Coturnix japonica: one gene and its partner. The protein of the gene in region 1 purifies or fractionates together with the protein of each later gene. This does not show direct contact. Links are inferred from orthologs where the notes say so. Each region holds a gene or a part of one and is shown on either strand. Other genes may lie near its edges.

Region 1 (4,334 bases):
ATCTCCTGTTTCTGCAGAGTGCCTTCATCTTCAGGGACGTGAGGCTGCGCGGCTTCTGGATGACCCAGTGGAAGAAGGACCATGGTGAGCTGCAGGCTTTGGGGTTAGGGATGCTTTGGGGTTGGGTTTGGGTTGGGTCAGCGTTCAGGGTGGCAGGCAGGTCTGGTGACAGGGGCCACCTTCTTCCTTCACAGACAAGCAGAGCATGGCCAGCATGGTGGATACCCTGTGCCAGATGGTGCGGGAGGGACAGCTCAGCGCTCCTACCTGCACTACAGTCCCCCTGGAGGACTTCAAGAAGGCCCTGGCAGCCTCTATGCAGCCCTTCACCTCCTCCAAGCAGATCCTCCTGCTCTGACCTTGCAAAAATTGTTATTTTTTTTTCCTTTTTTTCTTATTTCAGGTATTAAAAGCCTCTGGAATTTTACAGAGGCTGCACTGAACAGAGGCTGGGTTTGCTTCTGGAGGGAGACTTGGGTCCCATTTTAGCTTTGTTGCAGCTGAAAGCCTGGGCTCTTCCCTCAGCCATCTCAAGGGAAAGGAGCAGATTGAATTGCAAAACCACTATTGAAGATATTAGTATTATTATTCCTTTTTTTATTGTTAATTTTTCCCTACCTACATTCAATGCTGGGGCATTCATGCAGGCTGGAGTTATGTGGGACAATGTAGGTACATTTTCTACCCCCTGGGCTCACCCCAACAATGTGATTTTGCCAAGCCCTGGACTTGAATTCAGTTTTACTGCTGTTACTGAACCACCCCAACTTCTGATGGTGGAACACGCAGGGAAACCTCTTGGAAATCAATGCCTTGATATATCTATTTTTGTAAGACTCTTTGCCAATAAACATTGATGTGCTCATTCTGTTGCTCCAACAGCTCCTGTAAACTCTCCCTGTTCCAAGCTCAGGGCTGGGAAATCCCATAGCTCCTATAGGGAGGCGCTGGTGGGCTTTGCCCTGTTAGCACTGTGGGGTTTGGGGTTAGTGTTAGGGTTAGGTCAGCTCACCTGGAGCGTCGAGCAGGACCTTATGGAGAGCAGAGTGGGCAGCTCTGTGCTTGGATGGGTTTCTTGTTTTGAACAACAATTACAGTCCCTCTTCACATTCTTGGGGGCAAAAATCAGGCTTTTGGGGTCTTCTGATAGGGAGTAAAAGAATGAGGCACTGAGATCCGCGGCATTTAATTAACGTTAGAACAGTCTGCTGCGGTGTGGGTGGAACCCCATGGTGAGATGGCCCCTAACATTGGGGTGGAATCCCATGATGAGGTGACCCCCTGGACCCTAACACTGGGGTCAGTATTTTAGACCAGGTGGGCCCACTGCTGCCATGCCCCTTTTAAGAGCCATGAGGTGGGCCCACTTCTGCCATGACCCTTTTAAGAGCCATGAGGCAGACAGGTGGGCGTGGCTTACGCTGACGTATTCCCCCCCCACACTCAGCGCTGCGCGACGTCGTGACGTTACGTCGCCGTTTGGCGCCGCCCCCCCCCCGGGCGCGATGCCGCGGGTGTACATCGGCCGGCTCAGTTACCAGGCGAGGGAGCGGGATGTGGAGCGTTTCTTCAAGGGCTACGGCAAAATCCTCGAGGTGGATCTGAAGAACGGGTGAGCACGGCTCGGTTCGGCACGGTTGGTCGGTACAGAGCGGTTCGGTCCCGGCCTTACGCAAAGCGGCGGCCTTGTGAGGAGGGCTGGGCCTCGCTGTGAGGGGAGGTGGCGGATGGGAGGGATGGGGAAGGGGGTTTGGGGGGGGTGTAGGGGTTGGGGGCTTGGGGAGATGGGGGTGGGGGTTTGTGGGATGTAGAGGGTTTGGGGTGTGAGAGGGTTGAGGGGGGGGTGATGGGGTTGGGGGGATGTGGGGGGTTTTTGGGGCTTATGAGGCGGGCTTGGGGGGTTGCGGGGGGGGGGGTTTAGGGGTTATGGGGGGTTTGAGGGGGTCTTGGAGGGGTTTGAAGGGGGTTTGGGGGGGTTTGAGGGGGCTTGGGGGGTTATGAGGGGGATTGGGGGGTTTGGGGGATGTGGGGGGGTCTGAGGGGTGTGGGGGGGTTTGGGGGAATTGTGAGGGAAGTTTTTTGGGGTGATGTAGGGGGAATTGGGGTGGATTATGGGGGGGTTTGGGGTGTATGAGGGGATTTGGGGGCTTTTGGGGGGGTTTGGGGGGATTTGGGGGGTTTGAGGGGGTTTTGGGAGTTGTGTGTGGGGTTTTGGGGGGGCTTTGGGGGAGGTTGGGGGGATGGGGGGTTGGGGGATGTAGGGGTGATGTGGGAGGTTTGGGGAATTGTGGGGGGGTTCGGGTGGGCGTGTTAGGGGGCGTGGGGAGCAATGTGAGGGGCTTGGGGGGGTGTAGGGGGGTTTGGGAGGGATGTGAGGGGGTTTGTTGGGGGTTTGTGAGGGGGTTTGGGGGGATGTGAGGGGGACTGGGGGGATGTGAGGGGGTCTGGGGGGATTTAGGGGGTTTGGGGGGGGGTGTGAGGGGTTTGGGGCATGTAGGGGGGTTTGAGGGGTTGTGGAGGGATGTGTGGGGGGGCTTTGGAGTGATATGAGGGGGTTTGGGGGATTAGGGGGGTTTGAGGGGTTGTGGGTTGGGGGGGTTGGGGTTGAGGGGGTTGGGGGGATGTGGAGGGGGATGGAGGGGATGTTGAGGGGCTTTGGGGGGTTGTGAGGGGTTTTGGGGGGATGTGAGGGGGTTTGGGGGTTACATGGTGGGGTTGAGGTGTGTTGGTTTCCATTGTAACGGGGGGGGTGGGGGCGGGACAGGTGGTGCTGGTGCCGTTGGGGTGAGCTGGAGGTTGGGATGGCTTAGGGTCTGTGTGGCTCTATAGGGCATCCACTGGGAGGTGGATGTATAACAGGTTCATAAGACAAATCAAAGCAGTTATTAAAACAAAGAAGTGGGCACATATTGGTGCTTTAGCCGGATAATATTTTAGCCTGCTCAGATATTCAGTTGCACATTGTTGAAGCTCAAGGAGTATCTTGTTTTCATGTTGATAAAACCTCTGTAGGAAATGCTTCTGCTATATAGGCAGATGTCAGTGGGGGAGAACATCCTTCGTTAGCAGATATAGATCTACCAAATAGCTCTGATACACCTAATGGGCTTGTCCTCTTTCAGTATTGAGAAATGTCTTTTAAGAATCGGCCCTGTAATGCATTTAGAAGTGCTCAATGGAGAGCTGCATTGAGCTCAGGTGGCCAAAGCTGGAAGCATCACTTAGGATACCCTGAGTGCCAACTGCAACGGGCTGCAGAGTGAAAGGGAAGACACAGCCTATACCTACAGTGCAGGTACCCTGAATGTGACACTAAAGTTCACTTGGGGTGAGTTCAAAGGCTGTGGATAACTGGAGGGATGCAGGAAACTTGGTGTGATCATCTGCCTTGCTGCCTGCTGTTTCTATAGTAGGTTACTCCAGCTGTGGGTTAGATAGAGCTCTGCATGTGTTTCTAGGATGAACTCTTTTTAGGGTGTTATCCTGAAGCTGCAGGTCTCCTGGTGGCTCGTGCTTCGATTCCAGTTGGGCATCAACTCAAACCATCAGATTTGCTGCTGTTCTGCTCGAGTTTGCCTCGTGTTCAGTGTTTGCTCCATCGCTTTGTTTGCCCAATGATCCTTTCTTGTCAGCTTATTTTTAGTAGCGCTTAGCAAACGATTAAAAATGACTGCACGGTGTTTCATTCTGTAGAGTCTTTCAGTTTCTTCTGGAAGCTGGTGGGTTGTTGGCAGTTCTCAGCCTGCAGGAGATCAGCCTGTCAGTATTTTAGCAGCTAAGCTGAAGTGCTTCAGCAGTAAGAGAGACTGGAATGTGATACAGTGGAGTTCTGAAGGCTTTGCTGGGTCTTGCTTGCTGCTAGTTGTAACTTAAGCTTGCAGTTCAAAGTCTTTGAACAACGTTTACCTGAGGGAACAGCCAGAGAATGAACATCTCCTCCTTGTAGCTCCTTCCATTCCTGTTTGAAGTTTCTGGTTCTATGCTCATATAGTTCTCACATATTTTCCTACTCAGGACTTCACGGACATCTGGAGCTGTGCACGGCAGTTGTGTGTATTAAGTGACCAGAAAATTGGACTTTTCAGCCTGCTTTTTTTTTTTTATCTTCTGAGGAAAAACCAGCAGTAATAACTTGAAAGCTGGAAGCTTTTGCTGGCGGTGAGACTAATTTGCAATCATACTTGCTTTAACAAATAATTCTGTCTGTGTACTTACCTGCCCTGCATCACCCTGAGCAGCTTCTGGTGTTCATGGCTTCGCCTTGGAGAAATCCTTGTAAGAGGAGGGATGTAACTCCTGCAATGCGTTGAGGAGCAGAGATCAAAGCCGAAAGC
Region 2 (3,810 bases), on another chromosome or scaffold:
AATTTTATAAGCAAAAAGTGGTGCAAGAACAGTCCAGTTCCACTTCTTAAACGAGATTATTTTTTTTTTTAGGTAATTGTAATTTTAAAAGCCAGGGAGAAATAAGTCAAGAATGAGTTTTTTGATGTTGGCCTGTGTTGTTTAACCATCCCTTCTAAGGGCTACAAAACTGTTAATCTAAAGCATTCAGAAATGCCTTATAATGGGGTTTGATCAGGTTTATAGCTAGAAGTTAAGCTGCATATTCTTGGATCTACTAGTATATTTTTCTGAAATGGAATTGTTTCCTCCCATCCCCACCTCAGGATCCTCTTTCCTTTCCCATTTAGTGAATTGAATTGAATTCAATTGAAATTGAATTGAACTTCGATAACAGACTTGTCGTTTATTTTAAATCACTATAGATTCAGGATTTGGTTATTAACTGTGATGAATAGAAGAAAAAATATTCTAGGGTGCTTGTGAAGCTACGATTTTTTTTTCTTTTATGTTATTACATTAGAGAGGAATCTGGATCCACGATTTTAAAATATGTTCCTTTTTCATTTCTGTGTACATCACGTTGCTTCTGTGCTTTTGTAGATTTTGGCTTGCCAAACTGATAAATGTGAAATTTCTTCTCTCCTTTTTTCCAATCCATCAGCCACCAGTGAAGATGGTGCCCCTCCTGTCAAGGCTAACACAATGGGGCCCCAGTTTGTGAGTGGAGTAATTGTGAAGATCATTAGCACTGAGCCCCTGCCGGGCAGGAAGCAGATCAAGGTAATGCCTTTGTAACCTCAGGGTAGCTGTTAGCCTTTCCTCTTACAGTGCCACCCAAATGTTTGAATATGGAATACGATTTAAACAAATTTTAACGATATTTTTTTGTTTGTTTGTTTGATTACCTGTAGCTGTGTTCGGATTCCTCTCTAGTACCTGTTAATGGAAGAATTTAGGATGGCAAAATAGGGTGAAGAGAATGTTTCAAACAAGATGTAGCCTTTTGAGTGCTTCAACCAAGGCTGAAAATAATGGCAGAAATAAATAATGCTCTGGAGGATGAGTAATTGTCACCTCTACCTCCAGCCCTTCTTGTTCTGTCTTTTCATTTGCTGTGTGAAAAATGTGGTTAATGTTATACTGCTAAAAGTAAATCACTGCTGAGACCAATCTTCCGTTTCAGGAATAGGAGTTTGATGTTGTTGGGTGCACCTTTTTCTGTATGTAATTGTGCCACTAGTTTTGGTACAAATCAAATGAAGGAATCCATAGTGGTAAATTGTTTTTGCTTCGGTATGTGGTGATTTGTTGTTTTAGTTAGTTAGTTTGTTTTTAACAACAGGAATTTGGGGTTAAGAAAACATATTGTATGAGAAAGTTGTCATTTGGTTTTAACTCATGTTAGAATAAATGTGCAGACCACTTATAATGGGAATGGATCTAAACACAAGTTCTGAGGTAGCTTACCATACTACTTAGATATCTAACTGTACATTGTTGGGAGCTTTCTACTTGCAAGTGTGTGAAGTTGAATGTATGCATAAATACTAGCAAGGTTTGAAGGGTATTTTTCACTGAAAAGGAATTGATGATACATGAGGTTTCACCTTAATCAGTCTTGTCTGCCTTGGTATTTGTAGGCAGTCGTCTGAGTACTGGAGGCACTGAGAATGTGGTAGTTGTCACTGTAACGTTTAAGGCCAGTTCAGTTTGACTGCAAAGTACATTTTATGTAGTTGAGTTTGTGTTGTCACATAACACATTATGCTCAGGTAGGGCAGAGCTCATTTTCAGCTACTGCTGAAATCATAAACTTCCAGTCTGGTATTTCCAAATAAAACAAATTTAGTTTTTTTCTTTAGTTTAAGAAGAACATTTCAGTGAAAGTAAAGACATAACAAGATTGGCATGGCCTTTATTCTTGTTAATAGTTGTTGTGGTTTCCATAATAAGGCAAAATATTATACAGAATATCTCCAAACAAATGAGGAAAGATTTTTAGGAAGAAATACAGTTGTAAAATACATCTGTAGTTGGAACAAACAACAATCCTCAGGATGCTCCAGCTGTTTCTCAGCTTGGCAGAGGGAACTGCAAACTATACTTGACATTCCCTGGCTGACTTGTGGCTATACTAGTTGCTTCTGTGAAATGTTTAACGCTTCAGCAAAAGCCTTTACTTTGTCTGTCCACCAGGTCTGTCATATCTACAGCACTGCTGCCGCCAGACAATGCATTTAGGTTTTTCTTAGTAAATTTCCAGTATTTCTTCTTGCATGACAGGCATGGGGAACTTCTACATACCTGAAAGATCTTTTCAGTGCAATTCTAATGTTATTTTGATATTTTAGTTTTTTGCTGTGCTACTTCCATTTGCTCCCCTGTTTCTCAGGGGAGAGAAACTTATGTGTTGTGTGAGTCTTAATTTAAAAACCAAAACACGATGACTTTGGGTTATCAGAATGAACAGTAGTTTTGATTCTCAAAGGATCTCAACAATTTTGGTGCTTAGTTTTGTTTTGCTTAAGGTTGTGCTTTGTAGTGGATGGGGTTAAAAGCAAGTAATTCTTGAACAGTAGCGGCTTGAGCTGCCTGCTGTGAACAAAATGGACTAGGAATGTGTGGTTTTAGTTAATTTCCCTAACAGCAGGTATTACAAGTGAAGTACTTCATCTGAAAGAGCATGTGTGACTCTTCCTCCTTCAGCTGTTAGTGAAAATTTTCAGGCAGAGATCACTTCATAAAGATAGGAAGGACTGTTTTGTTGTTTTGTTTTGTGTTTTTTTTTACTTTTTAGATTATCTGCCTTAAAGGAACCTGTGTGTGTGGATTTCATATGTAGGAAGACCCTGAATATTTTTCTATTGGAATGACGCTTTTCAGTGTTACAACACTTATTATTTTCTTTTGAAGGAATGTTAGTACAGATATAGTTATTGTCCGTTTTGTTTCAAAACTAGTGTTCCATTAGTCAAAATTGTTCTTAGGAAAAAGAAATATCTGTAGGAATTACTGCTTAAAATAGTTCTTGGGAGCACAATGAGAGGTTAATAGCTGTCTTAAAGTTATGGGCTCATCTTATGAAAATATATTGACTCAAAATTATTAGACAAGTGATTCAAAAATTGTTACTACTTTCTACTCCATAACCTTCTATGAAAAATGAGTGCTGTTCTACAAATTGTGTGGTCAAAATAGCCACTCTTCTGTACTCTGAAGTCTGTGTTCTCACACACCCTGATAGGATGCTTTGGCAATGCTGGCTGATGTTGCTTATGTTGACATGCTAGAAGGAGACACAGAATGCCATGTCCGTTTTAATACTCCTGAGGATGCACAGACAGTCATGAAGTCTCACAAAGACCTACAGATAAAAAACAACTGGAAATATGAAATTCTTACTGGTAAGTCTTGGTGCTTATTTGTTGTTTTGTGTGGTATTTTTGTTTGTTACCAGTTTTTTTTATTAGTGGAAGGAGACAAATGTATATCTTTACAGCTACAGTGGCTGACTATAGGTCATATCTTTTATGTATATCATGTAGTATTGTAATAGCTTTATGGATAAAAATTTAAGTGTCTTTGTAGCTGTTGAGCAGACTTCTTATTATTATATATTGTATATTTATTTCCTATAAGTCTTAACTTTTGACTGTAATGGAATTAGTAAAATAGTGAGTGTTCTTAAGCCACTGTATAGAGTGAAATAGTTGCTTTACTTGCTCTGATCAATTTAATTCTCTTCTTTTGAGACTGGTTTCATCACTACCCTAGATCTAGACTATAGAACTTAAGGCACATTTTGGCCTTAGGACTATAACATTCTGA

What was found.
Region 2: the proteins of SRSF4 (region 1) and LARP7 purify together in Homo sapiens (affinity purification with mass spectrometry; 3 studies listed by BioGRID and IntAct, with this or other methods). This does not show direct contact. The link is inferred for Coturnix japonica from reciprocal best matches to the Homo sapiens genes SRSF4 and LARP7.

The regions. Positions count from the first base shown.
Region 1 is NC_029538.1:2,451,088-2,455,421, reverse strand, and holds the start of SRSF4 (serine/arginine-rich splicing factor 4), read left to right. Parts: upstream 1-1,458; 5' UTR 1,459-1,505; coding exon 1,506-1,612; intron 1,613-4,229; exon of another isoform or gene 4,230-4,334. Other genes in the region: MECR (enoyl-[acyl-carrier-protein] reductase, mitochondrial), read left to right, coding at 18-84, 195-358. UniProt on the Homo sapiens protein: Plays a role in alternative splice site selection during pre-mRNA splicing. Represses the splicing of MAPT/Tau exon 10.
Region 2 is NC_029519.1:51,156,830-51,160,639, reverse strand, and holds part of LARP7 (la-related protein 7), read left to right. Parts: intron 1-643; coding exon 644-762; intron 763-3,226; coding exon 3,227-3,386; intron 3,387-3,810. UniProt on the Homo sapiens protein: RNA-binding protein that specifically binds distinct small nuclear RNA (snRNAs) and regulates their processing and function.